Arabidopsis thaliana: one gene and its partner. Each later gene encodes a partner of the first gene's protein in a complex. Links are inferred from orthologs where the notes say so. Each region holds a gene or a part of one and is shown on either strand. Other genes may lie near its edges.

What was found.
Region 2: the proteins of AT3G47070 (region 1) and petB are in contact, whole or in part, in a cryo-EM structure (PDB 9ES7), measured with the Spinacia oleracea proteins. The link is inferred for Arabidopsis thaliana from one-to-one orthologs. Residues at the interface, in XP_056683494.1 of Spinacia oleracea: Lys44, Asp46, Gln47, Phe48, Tyr49, Glu50, Leu55; in NP_054964.1 of Spinacia oleracea: Pro28, His29, Pro214, Leu215.

The regions. Positions count from the first base shown.
Region 1 is NC_003074.8:17,331,978-17,343,613, reverse strand, and holds AT3G47070 (thylakoid soluble phosphoprotein), read left to right. Parts: upstream 1-5,880; 5' UTR 5,881-6,106; coding exon 6,107-6,409; 3' UTR 6,410-7,000; downstream 7,001-11,636. Other genes in the region: AT3G47090 (Leucine-rich repeat protein kinase family protein), read left to right, coding at 1-1,636, 1,741-2,102; AT3G47080 (Tetratricopeptide repeat (TPR)-like superfamily protein), read left to right, coding at 3,485-4,785, 4,953-5,199; ftsh7 (FTSH protease 7), read right to left, coding at 7,001-7,128, 7,290-7,413, 7,502-7,822, 7,921-8,046, 8,126-8,234, 8,326-8,450, 8,528-8,641, 8,729-8,815 and 5 more.
Region 2 is NC_000932.1:72,003-77,428, forward strand, and holds petB (cytochrome b6), read left to right. Parts: upstream 1-2,838; coding exon 2,839-2,844; intron 2,845-3,648; coding exon 3,649-4,290; downstream 4,291-5,426. Other genes in the region: psbB (photosystem II 47 kDa protein), read left to right, coding at 369-1,895; psbT (photosystem II protein T), read left to right, coding at 2,080-2,181; psbN (photosystem II protein N), read right to left, coding at 2,247-2,378; psbH (photosystem II protein H), read left to right, coding at 2,483-2,704; petD (cytochrome b6/f complex subunit IV), read left to right, coding at 4,479-4,486, 5,196-5,426. UniProt on the Arabidopsis thaliana protein: Component of the cytochrome b6-f complex, which mediates electron transfer between photosystem II (PSII) and photosystem I (PSI), cyclic electron flow around PSI, and state transitions.

The DNA of each region.
Region 1 (11,636 bases):
AGTTACAATAGGCTTGGGGGTGCTTTGCCTACATCCATTGTCAATATGTCCACGGAACTCACCGTTTTGAACCTTAAAGGAAACCTCATTTATGGAAGCATTCCTCATGATATTGGAAATCTCATAGGCCTACAATCACTTTTGTTGGCAGATAATCTATTAACAGGACCACTCCCAACCTCTCTTGGAAATCTTGTAGGGCTCGGGGAATTAATTTTGTTTTCAAATAGGTTTTCTGGAGAGATACCCTCTTTTATAGGCAACCTTACTCAGTTAGTAAAACTATATTTATCCAACAATAGTTTTGAAGGAATCGTTCCTCCGAGTCTTGGTGATTGTAGTCACATGCTCGACTTACAGATTGGGTATAATAAGTTAAATGGGACTATACCTAAGGAGATCATGCAAATCCCAACCCTTGTTCACCTCAACATGGAATCTAATTCTTTGAGTGGCTCTCTACCAAACGATATTGGAAGATTACAAAATCTTGTTGAGCTATTACTTGGGAATAATAACTTATCAGGACATCTCCCACAAACTTTGGGAAAATGTCTTTCGATGGAAGTTATTTATCTACAAGAAAACCATTTTGATGGAACCATTCCAGATATAAAAGGGTTGATGGGTGTTAAAAACGTTGATTTGTCAAACAATAATCTCTCTGGAAGTATATCTGAATATTTTGAAAACTTTTCCAAGTTGGAATATCTCAATCTATCCGATAACAATTTCGAGGGAAGAGTCCCAACAGAAGGAATATTTCAAAATGCTACTTTAGTTTCAGTATTCGGAAACAAAAATCTTTGTGGAAGCATCAAGGAACTGAAACTAAAGCCATGCATTGCCCAAGCACCACCAGTGGAGACAAGGCATCCATCTCTTTTGAAGAAAGTTGCGATTGGGGTCAGCGTAGGCATAGCTTTGCTTTTGCTATTGTTCATAGTTTCTCTAAGCTGGTTCAAAAAAAGAAAGAACAACCAGAAGATCAATAATTCAGCTCCTTTTACATTGGAGATTTTCCATGAAAAGCTAAGTTATGGAGATCTACGAAATGCGACAGATGGCTTCTCTTCGAGCAATATAGTTGGGTCAGGTAGTTTTGGTACTGTGTTTAAGGCATTGCTCCAGACGGAGAACAAGATTGTTGCAGTGAAAGTTCTAAACATGCAGAGACGTGGAGCTATGAAGAGCTTTATGGCAGAATGTGAATCTTTGAAGGATATAAGGCATCGTAATCTCGTGAAACTATTGACAGCTTGCGCTAGTATTGATTTCCAAGGTAACGAATTCAGAGCTCTCATCTATGAGTTCATGCCGAATGGAAGTTTGGATAAATGGCTGCACCCAGAGGAAGTCGAAGAGATTCATAGGCCCTCAAGAACTTTGACACTTCTTGAAAGGCTTAACATTGCCATAGACGTGGCTTCTGTTTTGGACTATCTTCATGTTCACTGTCATGAGCCTATAGCTCATTGCGATCTTAAGCCAAGCAACATACTTCTCGACGATGATCTAACTGCCCATGTTAGCGACTTCGGTCTCGCTCGTCTTCTCCTCAAATTCGACCAGGAGTCTTTCTTCAACCAACTAAGCTCAGCTGGTGTTAGAGGAACCATTGGGTATGCCGCACCAGGTAAAACTATTACACATATGGAACGTTTAAATGAAGAATATTTATGTGTTCCTTTTTTCATTACAATCTTGTTGTCGTTTTTGTGTGTGTGAATTATGGTGCAGAATATGGAATGGGAGGACAACCGTCAATACACGGTGATGTATATAGCTTTGGGGTTCTCGTTTTGGAAATGTTCACTGGAAAAAGACCAACCAATGAGTTATTTGGAGGAAACTTTACCCTGAACAGCTACACCAAGGCGGCCTTGCCAGAAAGAGTTTTGGACATTGCAGACAAATCGATTCTTCATAGTGGTCTCAGAGTTGGTTTCCCTGTACTTGAGTGCTTGAAAGGGATTTTGGATGTGGGACTTAGATGTTGTGAAGAATCTCCGCTGAACCGGTTGGCAACGAGTGAAGCAGCCAAGGAGTTAATCTCAATCAGAGAGAGATTCTTTAAAACCCGGAGAACAGCCAGACGTTGAAGTGTTTATGGTTTTCTCTACAAACTTTGCCATCCACTTAAAAGCCTTACTTTGAGGCCTATATAATATCATACTGTCTTTCGTAATCTGTGGTTTGTTTTTTTCCTCTGTTTATGCTCTCTTATTTCCATCATTGTCTTAAACCCTAAACCCTCGTTTCTCTTTCTCGTTGCTGCAAATCTAAAACGCATAATTGGGCTCCTCAATAAACCCTAAACCAGACAATTCTTGGATCTCTATCCTTGTCTTTTCGTTACTGTTTTGATGCTTCTTGTTTCCTGCTGTTAGGTTTTGGAAACTAGACTACAGTTTGCAGTTTCTTGGCTGGGAAGTCATGTAAAGCCAAATACAGAGACTCTTTAAATCCAAAGACTTGGGTCCAATGGTCGATGGGTCCATATTCGTGATAAGATATAAAGCCCATTTAGTTTTGTCAAGGCCCCAAGTACTGTTTAATGTTGTTGTCTTTCATTATATGTAATTGTATGGTTATGCCATAAAATTGCACTAAACAGTGCATCATGCATATAGACTTATCTCTGTATTTGGTAAAGATAATCCATTTTCTTGAACGTATATCTATATCAAGATTTTAAAGCTTTTTCTAAAAATCTGATTCTAATTTTTGTTAAAACAAATCTTATTAGAGAATGAGATAATCTACTCTAAAACAAGCTATTTTCTTTTCATACTTTCGTTTTCAGGAATAAATCGAGAAAATACAAATTTCATAACACTCAATATCGAGAAAACCCAAGTTTGTGTCCTCGTTAGGTCCGTGAACCCATCTCCATATTCTTCAACCCCCTACGTGGCAATAGATCAAACCGAAGCTATATCAACCAACACGTGATTCATTCTCATCCGTCAGATCAAGATCGATGAAGCCGCGATGAAAGCAAAATTTTCCCGAATAAACCGCGTCGCTTAGTTTAGCCGAATCCTTATCATTCATCACCTGTAACCGTCTCTACCCGTGGAATAAATAAATAAAACCAATCTCTTCTCTAAAATAGCACGCGCCTTTTCACCGCCTATATCCGGTAAATTAATTAAATAATTTACTAATTTTTCTCTCTTGGTATATAAACATACAAGGGCTTTTGTCTTCTTCTTCTTCTTCTTCTCTGTTTCTAACAAAGTTCAGGAGCTCTCGTAAGCCTCTGAATTCGATTTGACCTGACAACCATACAAAAAATTCTCCCGAGAAAATCTCTCTCTCAACGAACGAATTTCGAATCACCAAGAAGAAGTAAGCTCTCTCTCTTTCTCATTCTCATTCTCTCTTATCTTTCAATTTCTCGTAATCAATTTTGTCTTAATCTTTATAGCTTTTCTCGATTTATACAGATTCTGAGATTTGTTTGCGTTTCATCGGAATAATGGAAGTGAAAGTAGCAACAACGACGTCGTTTCATTGGTCAGGACGACACACAGCGATTCCTCAATGTCCGTCATTTTCGCAAACCCTAACTTCATCTAAACGCCGTCGTTCTCGTGGAATAGCCGGTGATGTTTCCGTCGGAGGAGGATCTTTGAGATTAAAACCTTCGACGTTTCTCGGAACACAATCTGGGAAACTTCACCGATCTAAATCATGTGAGCTTTGGCAATTTTCTAATTCCACCACGAAGAAGATTAGAACTGATGTGAAGAAGAAACATAATCCTTTGAGAAGAGTTTGTAGTGCGAGCTCCGGTTTCTTCTCCTCCGACGAAGCATTCTCTGTGAAAATGCAGGAATTAGCTTCACAATTCAGAAACGCAGGCGATGAAGAAGAAGAAGAGAACAAACAGAAATCAGAAGCAGTAGATAACGATAACGATAGCAATAATCATAGATTTGGTTCTTTGAAGCTATTACAAGAGTCTGTTCCAGGTTTAGCTTCTTTGGAAGCTCCATGGGCAGAGATGGTTAACCATTCAAGTATTGAGCGTAAAGCAAACAGTGTTGATTTACCTCTATCACTTAGGATAATAAAGAGGAAGTTACAAGAAGAAGCTCTTAAGAAAGCTAGTGCTACTACTTACTGTTCTATCAATAGAGCTTTTTCTTCTATGGTTTTCATGATTGAGGAGCTTCATAGCTTTGCGTTGCAGACTAGAGTGGGTGTTCTTAAGCAGGTTAAGAAGGAAATGCACGCTTCATTGTTGTGGATTTTCCAACGTGTGTTCTCTCAGACACCTACTTTGATGGTTTATGTGATGATCCTTTTGGCGAACTACACTGTGCATTCAGTTGCATCAAACCTACCTATTGCAGCATCTCCTCCAGTTGTTAATAAAGGTCCGGATCAGACGCAACAAAGGATTGATTTTTCTTCGTTAAAGGAGTCTACGAAGCTTGATGGGTCCAAATGGTTAGGATCGATCAATTTTGACAAGGTTTCCCACTTGCCGAGACATCGAGACTCGGTTTCAGGAGAAGGGATGAGAGAAGAGGAGGTGAGTCTGTGGAATTCGATGGTGGAAGAAGCAGATCAAATGCAAGATTCCTCTGTTGATCGTGACATGAGATTGAGACTTGTTTCACCGATCACTGCAAGGATTGAATTGGATGATTATGCCAATTACACTAGAACTGAGCTTTTATATAAGATAGGTTTGGCTCAAGAGCCTGACAATCATCTGCTCCTAGCTAACTACGCTCAGTTCCTTTACCTCGTTACTCAAGACCATGAGAGGTGAGATATCCTTTTAACCTATTCTTGCATCTAACATTCAAGACTTTATTACCTGTACTTTGAGAAGTATATGCTTGCACTTGACACATTGAGTATCAAAAGATTGGTTATGATTCTATGTAACTCTGGAACTTGACAAATGATGTTTGCTTTTGGTTATGTATTAGAGCGGAGAACTGCTTCAAGAAAGCAATAGAGTCAGAAGATGTAGACGCAGAAACGTACAGCAAATACGCCATCTTCCTGTGGAAAGTTCGGAATGATCTCTGGGCTGCTGAGGAGAACTTTCTAGAAGCTATATCTGCAGACCCTACCAACTCCTTCTACGCCGCCAACTACGCCAATTTCCTCTGGAATACCGGTGGTGAAGAGACGTGTTTCCCTTTAGAAGATTCTACTCAGGAAATGGTTTGAGAAGGAGCGAATGGCAGTGAATGGATGTTGGTTTGTTTGGAGTGAAGAGACAGCGACACGGAACTTAGGTACACGATAGAAGCAAGAGGAAAAGTGTAAGTAGTGTTTTTGAGTGAACCATTGCGGCTGATGAAACATTGCTTCTCTTTGGTTCTTTTTTCTTTTTGCTTTTGCCTAATTTTTCACTCAGTAGTATATACGGTCGCAGATTCCATCGAATAAGAACATGTGTAGATCCAACACTATTACACGAATAATAAACACTGAGCATTGCTTTTGGTGAAATAATAAGTGCGCATATTTGAATCGTTTAATGGAATTTATCTTGTAACTTTCTTCGAGCTTCGTTCATCAGTGTTGTGGCGCTACTCGTAGGAGTCTACTCTAGAGCTTTATATCCCATCTTGTCACAGTTCCTTTTAAAGAAATGGGCCTCGTCGGCCCAATAACAGAAAAAAGGTTTTTAGTTTTGATCAGAGTCTCAAGTTGCAGCAGCTAACAACCAACATGGTCAGGGACAAGATCACACACTTAAAAAAAATCAAGTCGTGTCTCTTCCGCATTCATACATTTCATTTGACAAATAAATTATAAATCTGAAATTGAAGACTTTGACTCTCTGTGCAAATTTCCGTTTAAGAACTTGAGAAGAATATACATAAATTGTGCCAAGATATATCTAAAAACAATTAAACCAAAAAAAATGTATCCAAGTGATTCAAAGAAAAATGTGTGAAGGGAAAAAAGAAAGAGGATAAGACACTTGTGGAGAGCTTGTGCCAAAAAAATCCAACGGCTCAGATTCAACCAACCTCGTTATAATCCCTTCGTAACAAATGCCACACGAAGACACACATACACACACTACCGATAAAGAAAAACCAGAGAAGAGAGAGAGATAACAACAATGGTTTCTTCGCTTCTTATGTCATTTGCTCCGGCCACCGTGAGGGTTTACGCCACAAGCACAAAGGGAGGTTCAGGCGGCCCAAAGGAGGAGAAGAATCCCATCGACTTTGTTCTTGGGTTTATGACAAAACAAGATCAGTTCTATGAGACTAATCCACTTCTAAAGAAGGTGGATGAGAAAGAAGGCACCACCACCGGAGGCCGAGGAACCGTTCGCGGTGGTAAAAACTCAGCTCCGACGCCTGTGCCGAAGAAGAGCGAGGGTGGATTTGGTGGCTTAGGAAGCCTCTTCAAGAAATAGAAGAAAAAAATGTATAGTAATTTGCATTATTCATGCCTCTGTTTTCATTCTCTATAATTCTTCGGATTTCACTTATATATAAGCTACTCTTTCTTAATCTTATTTGACATCACATGATCTAGTTATTTATTTTTCTGAACATTTTCAAGATTAACTCCACTACTTCGAGAAATCTGAGAATAATAGACTAATATGAGTAATGCTAATGCAACTTTTTCTGGAGTACAATGAGTGATGCTGTTGCAACCTTTTGTGGGGGTCTTTAAGATCTTTACACATATCAGTCTGGCTTTTTATACATATGAATCAATTATACACTTTTTTGCCAAGTTAAAGAGACTGTATCTAGCAAGAATACCAAATCTTAAAACACATCCACCAAAATCTATGAGTTATCACCAAAAGTCATATCCCAATATGGTTCTTCAAGTTTGATTCAAGTGTTCTATGCATGCTGGAACCATGGATGCTAAAGGGCAATGGTGATAACCAGATCTGACCTGGAGATACAGAAGGCAGCAAGGAAAGAGCTGATGATCCGTGTTAGATACTGTCTTTATAGCTATAATTGATGATAGAACAGAGTAGTTGTTAACTGGAGCTAGCTTGTGCTGGGAGCAAAAGCTCTTGCTTTCCTTCGACAAAGACTGCGAGTTCTTCTGGTGCAACCACCATGCTTAACCACTTCTGCAGTTCTTCACCTTCTACTTTCTCTTTCTCTGCACCAAAACATGATATTTCATCAGCAAAATCAGCCAGTTGTCACATGAACCAAACTCAAGACAAGGGATATAATCTTTCTCGCAAGCAGTTATATCCTTTAGTGTCCTACATGTTTTCAAAAACTGTTCTGATGAAAACAAATAAACTTATACTACACCTTCAAGTTGAGCACCAAGCCCTTCCAATACATCTGGATTAGCGCGTACAACAGACAGCGCAACATCGAGAGCAGATTGTAACAAAATTGTCACTTCTTTTTGAACAAGATCAACTAGTTTCCCCTGTGTATTAACATGGAAGGTTAACTTTTGCATGGACAATTGGAAATTATAAGACAACCTAGGCAAGTGCATTGCAACATGAAGTTACCTGATCTCTTCCCCATGGCGAGCCTCCAGAATCGTCAATCCCACCACCAGAAAGTGTAGCCACAGACACAGGTCCGATTTTTTGGTTAAGACCGTATTCAGCTACTGCCTTGTATGCCATATCAGTTGCCCGCCTTATATCATCAAATGCACCTGTTGATATACGCCCTGAGTAAACAACTTCTTCAGCTGCACGACCTCCAAGAAGGGTAACTAAACGCCCAAGCAGCTCATCAATGAAGAGTAAATATCTGTCTTCACTAGTAGGAGGAATGTATGTAAATCCCAATGCCCCTCCTGTTCTTGGCAATATGCTTAATTTCTGACAACACCACAAAGATGAGCAAAACTTGAATCATTTGCACGTACTAAACAACATAAACAATGAGCGTAAATGTAGACAAAGTTTTTGCATTTTACCTCAACACGTGGCTGTCCAGTAAGAAGATTTGCAACAGCGGTACCAACCACTGCATGCCCAGCTTCATGCCTTGCGACCACTGCCTTCTCATTGCCTTTTAATCTTGCAGATTTCTTCTCTATGCCCTGAAACAGGTCTTTGTAAGAAAACACATTTTGACAATTGCCTTACGTAATCAATAAAACAGCGAGGTTATAGAGATACCGCTATTGATCGCTCCACAGCTTGAATGAAGTCAATTTTCTCAACGTTCGTCTTGTTCTTTCTTCCAGCTAGCAAGGCAGCCTCATTTACCAAGTTTGCAAGATCTGCCCTGCAAATAGGACAAAAGAGTTTATGAGATATACACCCAAAAACGTATAACTGAATAAACTTCAAATCATTGATAATATACAAAAGCGTACCCCGTGAAACCAGTGGTCATTGAGGCAATACTACCGAGGTTGACATCATCTCCCAAAGGAAGCTCTTTCTTTGACACATGTACTCTCAAAATGGATTCTCTTCCAATTTTGTCTGGCGTTTCCACCTGAAAAATGCATCAGTGCCTTTGAAAAAACCATATTAAACATTTACAAATAGGCAGAGCTGATCCATTCTACCAACCGTAACAACACGATCAAATCTCCCAGGACGACGCAGGGCCGGATCTAAGACATCGGCACGATTTGTAGCTCCAAGAACGATAACCGCAGAATTGCTGTCAAAACCATCCATCTCCTGCAGAAAAGTTTCCAACATGTGAATGGGTCATGGAAAGATCAAGAATGCTACTTACACAGGAAAGGTGCTTGACAGCAGACTTACAGTGAGCAACTGATTTAAAGTTTGCTCCCTTTCATCGTTGCTCCCCATTCGGAATTTACCATCACGGCTTTTTGCCACAGCATCTATCTGGAGCATGAGAGGCAAATAGAAAATCTTGTTTAAGATGCCCAGAGGTTTAATATACCGGAGGTAATCTGACATCGACTACCTATTCTAACCTCATCAATAAATATAATCGATGGAGCTTCCTTCTTGGCCCGTGCAAAAAGATCCCTTACACGTGAGGCACCCATACCGACATACAGCTCTACAAACTCACTTGCAGAGCAACTTATGAAGGGGACTTCAGCTTCCCCAGCAACAGCCTTTGCAAGAAGGGTTTTCCCTGTTCCGGGAAGACCAACCTGGAAAAGAAAGGAGTCAAAGGCATATCATTCTAAAGGAGAGCTCTTGTAACCAAACGTTAAACCATGATATATACGTAATATAAGAATAAAGTGAAATCAAATGATAAAACTCACCAATAGGACACCACGCGGAGGACGTGCACCTAGACGGACATACTTTTCAGGATTCCTAAGAAATTCCTGCATTGATTAACCGATGTGTAAAAGACAATTACCAAACCGAGAATAAAGCTATGAAAAACAATCTGATCATCAATAAGCATGTGCAGCGTCTTTAAGGACTGAAAAACCTACCACGATTTCTTCTAGCTCTTCCTTTGCTTCATCAACACCTGCAACATCCGCAAAAGTGATTGTTTCACCTCCACCAGAGACTTTTCCCCCATCAGGACCACCAGCCTTTCGGGTCCTAAGCTGGCCGGTTGAACTCTGTGTACACCCATAGTTCTTTTAGGAAATTCAAAATTTTAAACAACCACATTAAAGTATAGTAGAGATGCAAACCGTGGAGAAGCTAACAGGGAATCGAATAAGCCCAGCAAGTACCGCTATGTAGAAAAGAGCTATCTGCAACAAACAAAAATAGAAACTTTTGAAAAGACCCAACCTATTTTATAGCACAATCACCATTCATTGCAAAACTATAAAGCATCATCATCAAGGAGTAGGACAAATAGTAAAAATGAAACTATACCAATGCAGAGTTGAAGAAGCCACCAGAACGCTTCTCAGGCGATCCAAATTCCACATTATTCCCAAGCATCTTCTCATACGGTGTTTTGATATCACCCGGCCTAGTAGTGGAATACACAACCCTTTTCGTAGGAGCCACAGTTCTTAACAACGATTCAGACGACTGAGACAACCTACTAGTTTCACTCTCTTGCCACTTCCCATCATCTCTTAACTTAAACAAAACTTGAACCCCATCAACCTCCACTTTCTGCACCTGGTTACTGTTAACTTTACTTAAGAACTCACTATACGGTACACTCACAAAAGTCGTCTGAATTCGAGGCTCCGATCCAGGTAAAGGTATACCAGGTCGAAGCAATCGCATCACAAACATAACAACACTCAATTGCAACAACAAAACTCCAATCCCTTGCGCTTGGATTATTGGCTGCCACTGCCATTTCTTGCCCTTTGACCACCACACCTTATCTTCTTTCTTCTCTCTTTTCCTCTCCGACTTCGCCGGAGTACTCTGACTGCTTTCTTCCTCCTCACTAGAACTCTCGTTCTGATCATCTTCTTGACAATTCACAACTAATCTACTCTTCTTTCTTGAAAACCCATCCCAAAGATTAAACCTTTCGTGATTTCTCAACACTGTAACTTGTTTCTTCTGCAGAGGAAGCGTGATTGAATTGGAGACAAACCGATTCGGATTTTGGCGATAAACCCTACAACGATCGTTGAAAAATCTCGAAGCTTTCGAGTACAATAGACTATTACTACTACAACAAGTTGCAAATCCGTGGATTCTTGGTTGCAGAAATTCGAATGTAGTAGTCATTATTTCGAAACCCTAGAAATTGGGGAAATCAAAGGTAACACATTTATATCGATCTGTCTAATTTTCAATGAAGACGATGTTTGCTGGGAAATACGACTTCGAATTGTGACCGTTGGATCAAAGATATTAAAATTCGACCGTCGATACAACGGAGGACGGTTAATTATCTCATCGGCAAAGCTGAGTAATCAAGTGTGACACGGCGTACGGAACCGAATGGTGCAAGAGGACACGTGGACATATAATTGGAAGAATTAATATAGAGTTTATTGGGCCGAAAGAGGCCCAAAATCGGCCTAAAAGACAAATCACTCAATCATACTCTTTTCTTTTCTTTCCAAATTTCTTGCATCTTCTTTCTTTTTTTTGGTAGGGTTGGGGGACAATGTCCCCACATTTTATTAATTAAAAAAATTAAAACTAAATCAAATACGAACATTATGTGGGTATGCAGACCCGTTCGCATCATCAAAGACAATAGAGACAACCACATCCGGTCTACCCTCGAACAAATAAAAATCTAAGGGAAGAGAAAAAGCATAGTTAGTTAACACATCCGTTAGGCGGTTAGTTTCTCTATGCACGTGAAAAAACGCGGACTATCCAGCCACGCGACAAAAAGTCATAGCACAAACGTATTAAGAAAGAGAATGGATGTGAGTTTGTGATTCCCGACTTAAGGAACCCCACCACAATCTCCGAGTCTCCCTCTACCTCCAACCTTGTAACCCATTTCTTGCATCTTCTTCTTACGAATAAAAATGTTTCTGAATGTTGGTTAGAAACAGAAATAAACATGGTACAATCAATCTGCACAAAATGATAAAAATGAAAAGACCATGATTATCGAAACGGTCAAGAATCAAGATTCATTTATTCAAGTAAATACTAATTAAATAACTGACTTTATTGCTCTAGACCTAATTCAAGAAAAGTATATGATTAATGTGTGGTAGTTGGTATGAAAAAGAAAAATAGATTGTTAGCTCCATCCACCATATGCTTCACTCTTAATCGTGGT
Region 2 (5,426 bases), on another chromosome or scaffold:
AATGATATTTAATACATAAGTTGAATAAGCTAAAATAAAATATAAAATAAAAGTAAAGTAAGAGAGAATGAATAAAACTAAAGGAAATTTTTTACGAACGGGCTTCTGAATGATCAACAACAATAGCTATCTTGGTTCATAGAAAATAGGATTAACCCCCATTGCATATTGGTACTTATCGGATATAGAATAGATCCGCTTCCCTTTTTTTCTATGAATTGAATTGTTCCATTATTACTAACAGAATAGAACAAATATTAATCCTTTCTCCGAAATAATTACCTAAAAAGGGGGGGTACGTAGCATAGTTTTTTCCAATGCAATAAAGTTACATAGTGTCTATTTTTCGTTGATAAAGGGGTATTTCCATGGGTTTGCCTTGGTATCGTGTTCATACTGTTGTATTGAATGATCCCGGTCGTTTACTTGCTGTTCATATAATGCATACTGCTCTAGTTGCTGGTTGGGCTGGTTCGATGGCTCTATATGAATTAGCAGTTTTTGATCCCTCCGACCCCGTTCTTGATCCAATGTGGAGACAAGGTATGTTCGTTATACCTTTCATGACTCGTTTAGGAATAACCAATTCTTGGGGCGGTTGGAATATTACAGGGGGGACTATAACGAATCCGGGTCTTTGGAGTTACGAAGGGGTAGCCGGAGCACATATAGTGTTTTCTGGTTTGTGCTTCTTGGCAGCTATTTGGCATTGGGTATATTGGGATCTAGAAATTTTTTGTGATGAACGTACAGGAAAACCTTCTTTGGATTTGCCCAAGATTTTTGGAATTCATTTATTTCTTTCAGGAGTGGCTTGCTTCGGTTTTGGCGCATTTCATGTAACAGGATTATATGGTCCTGGAATATGGGTATCCGACCCTTATGGACTAACCGGAAAGGTACAACCCGTAAACCCGGCGTGGGGCGTGGAGGGTTTTGACCCTTTTGTTCCGGGAGGAATAGCCTCTCATCATATTGCAGCAGGGACGTTGGGTATATTAGCGGGCCTATTCCATCTTAGTGTTCGTCCGCCTCAACGTCTATACAAAGGATTACGTATGGGCAATATTGAAACCGTCCTTTCCAGTAGTATTGCTGCTGTCTTTTTTGCAGCTTTTGTTGTTGCTGGAACTATGTGGTATGGTTCTGCAACTACTCCCATCGAATTATTTGGTCCTACTCGTTATCAATGGGATCAGGGATACTTTCAACAAGAAATATATCGAAGAGTTAGTGCTGGACTGGCTGAAAATCAAAGTTTATCAGAAGCTTGGGCGAAAATTCCTGAAAAATTAGCTTTTTATGATTATATTGGTAATAATCCAGCAAAAGGGGGGTTATTCCGAGCGGGTTCAATGGACAATGGGGATGGAATAGCTGTTGGATGGTTAGGCCACCCCGTCTTTAGAAATAAAGAAGGGCGTGAACTTTTTGTACGCCGCATGCCTACTTTTTTTGAAACTTTTCCGGTAGTTTTGGTAGACGGAGACGGAATTGTTAGAGCTGACGTCCCGTTTAGAAGGGCAGAATCAAAATATAGTGTCGAACAAGTAGGTGTAACTGTTGAGTTTTATGGTGGTGAACTCAATGGAGTGAGTTATAGTGATCCCGCAACTGTGAAAAAATATGCTAGACGGGCTCAATTGGGTGAGATTTTTGAATTAGATCGTGCGACTTTGAAATCTGATGGTGTTTTTCGTAGCAGCCCAAGAGGTTGGTTTACGTTTGGACATGCTTCGTTTGCTCTACTTTTCTTCTTTGGACACATTTGGCATGGTGCTAGAACCCTCTTCAGAGATGTTTTTGCTGGTATTGATCCAGATTTGGATGCTCAAGTGGAATTCGGGGCATTCCAAAAACTTGGAGATCCAACTACAAAACGACAAGCAGTCTGATGCAACATTGCTTTTTTTCTTCTAGTTTCTGTTTGTTATTTTATTTAATAGGTAGGGTACTGTAGGAATCTTTATTTAAATCGCTGCCGTTTCTTTGACTCTTTTTCTTTCTTTATCCTCCCAAGTAAACAAAACGTAAACAAAACAGGTATGAAAGCTATAATTGTAAACCACGATCAAATTTATGGAAGCATTGGTTTATACATTTCTCTTAGTATCCACTTTAGGGATAATTTTTTTCGCTATTTTTTTTCGGGAACCACCTAAAATTTCAACTAAAAAATGAAATAATTTTTCATTATCTTCATTAACGTAATCAGCCTCCAAATATTTGGAGGCTGATTACGTTAACTAGTCCCCGTGTTCCTCGAATGGATCTCTTAGTTGTTGAGAGGGTTGCCCAAAGGCAGTATATAGAGCATACCCAGTAAAACTTACAAGTAACCCAGATATAAAGATGGCGACTAGGGTTGCTGTTTCCATTATTATAGAATTGAAAGACCACACCGGATCTATGCTAAGATCATTTATTTACAACGGAATGGTATACAAAGTCAACAGATCGTAATGAATACAAAATAAGATTTATGGCTACACAAACTGTTGAAGATAGTTCTAGATCTGGTCCAAGAAGCACTACTGTAGGGAAGTTATTGAAACCATTGAATTCCGAATATGGTAAAGTAGCTCCCGGATGGGGAACGACCCCTTTGATGGGTGTTGCAATGGCTCTATTTGCGGTATTCCTATCTATTATTTTGGAGATTTATAATTCTTCTGTTCTACTGGATGGAATTTCAGTGAATTAGACTGAGAAGAATCTTGAAGTTCTAGCTTTTAGCTCGATACAAAAAAGTAAAGTATGCAGGTCTAACAATTTTAGCCTATTCTCCTTTGGTAGTTCGACCGCGAAATTTTTTTCTGCATTGTATATTTCCGGAATATGAGTGTGTGACTTGTTAGAATTGACCCTATGGATAGTACAGAGAATGGGGTCTGTCATCTTTATCAAGATGGTTTTACTTCGTCGGATATTCATTCGAGTATCTGGAGCACGAAATAGATCAAATAGATCACAAAGTATTCGAACTATGATTCATACTTAAATACTCAAACCTCGTAGCCGGACTTCTTTCCGTTCTATCTTATAAACTTTAATAAATCAAAAAAATTTTCTGCTTTTAAACTCTTATTTGGATCAAAGGACAAACGCTTCTTTGTATTTTATGTTTTTAGTCATTATAGCTTTTTTTTTATTGAATAAGTGATGATCCAATGGTTCTCACTCAGTGAACTTTGGACTTTGAAGGTTTCATTAAATTATCGTGGTTCTCGTATGAATCTGAGGTTTCAATTGATTAGTTAAGTAGGGTCTTAACAAGAGAATTCCTATCAATAATAAAGAAAACAAGAAGAAATCCCTGTCCCCGTTCCATACAAATACCAAATAAAAAAAGACAATAAAGATAGGTAATCTAGAAGATTCAAGAGGCCTGTAACGATCAACACAACATAAAGACGAATGAGCTTACTTGATTTTTTGGCATTTAACCACAAAGACGAGCTTTCGCATTTTGACTCTTTCATATCTTTAAATAATAAAAAATAATATTGAATGAGAGACAAGTTTAAAACTTTATATTCCATATCTGTTTCAATCAGTATTTGGGTCTTTTTTTGTTTGAGCTGTACGAGATGAAATTCTCATATACAGTTCTTGGAGGGGGAGTAACCTTGGTTTACCTATCTCAATAAAGTTTATGATTGGTTCGAAGAACGTCTTGAGATTCAGGCGATTGCAGATGATATAACTAGTAAATATGTTCCTCCGCATGTCAACATATTTTATTGTCTAGGCGGAATTACCCTTACTTGTTTTTTAGTACAAGTAGCTACGGGATTTGCTATGACTTTTTATTACCGTCCAACCGTTACTGAAGCTTTTGCTTCTGTTCAATATATAATGACTGAAGCTAACTTTGGTTGGTTAATCCGATCAGTTCATCGATGGTCGGCAAGTATGATGGTCCTAATGATGATCCTGCACGTATTTCGTGTATACCTCACCGGTGGTTTTAAAAAACCTCGCGAATTAACTTGGGTTACTGGTGTGGTTCTGGGTGTATTGACCGCATCTTTTGGTGTAACAGGTTATTCTTTACCTTGGGATCAAATTGGTTATTGGGCGGTCAAAATTGTAACAGGTGTACCTGACGCTATTCCGGTAATAGGATCACCTCTTGTAGAATTATTACGCGGAAGTGCTAGTGTTGGACAATCCACTTTGACTCGTTTTTATAGTTTACACACTTTTGTATTACCTCTTCTTACGGCCGTCTTTATGTTAATGCATTTCCTAATGATACGTAAGCAAGGTATTTCTGGTCCCTTATAAATAATATAGATTCTAGGTATTTGTACTTACTTATTACTTGGTGAAGGAACGATAGTATTTTATTGCTATAAATATGGATTATTAAAAAAATAAAACATGTATTTGGATATTTCCCTTCAACTCCACAATATTTTATTATTTTTTTGACATAAAAAGTTGAAGGGAATTCTATGAAGAGATAATGGATTATGGGAGTGTGTGACTTGAACTATTGATCGGGCCGTGCAGAAATATTACTTTATCTGCTACATTGGAATTCACAACCAAATGTGTCTTTGTTCCAACCACTGTGTAAGCCCCATACAGGGGATAGGCTGGTTCACTTGAAGAGAATCTTTTCTATGATCGTACCCGACGCTGTCGTGGATGAGTGGGCTCCGTAAAATCCAGTAGATTAAGGGATGGAACAAAATCCTGATTATGTTTTTAGTTATTTTGGACTAAAAAAAAAAAAGAAAATAATTATTAATAGTAATAGTATGTAAATGCATTCATTTTCTCTGCATCGACTCGATTTATGATACTATCGGAGTGAATACAGGATCTAATGAAGAGTAGAGGGTAGACTCCATTAGTAACAAGTAAATCCTTTGTATTTGAAAAATCTCGATATAATTGTTGAGATTAAGGACGAATTTATAAGGTATGAGACGACCCAGAAAGCACTTAATCATGATAAACTTTTTAAGCTTACGTGGGTGTTGAGCATTTACCTGTAAGAATGGAATTTCTTGAATCTTTAGTTGCAATAACTTTGGAATCGGATAATTAATTTTTACATATTAAATTATATTTTTTGTATGTATTCATTTAGTTTGGTTAATTCTTGCTCGAGCCGGATGATAAAAAATTATCATGTCCGGTTCCCTCGGGGGATGGATCCATAAGAATTCACCTATCCCAATAACAAAAAAACCAGATTTGAATGATCCTGTATTACGAGCTAAATTAGCTAAAGGTATGGGTCACAATTATTACGGGGAACCCGCATGGCCCAACGACCTTTTATATATTTTTCCAGTAGTTATTCTTGGTACCATTGCCTGTAACGTAGGCTTAGCGGTTTTAGAACCATCAATGATTGGTGAACCTGCGGATCCTTTTGCAACTCCTTTGGAAATATTACCTGAATGGTA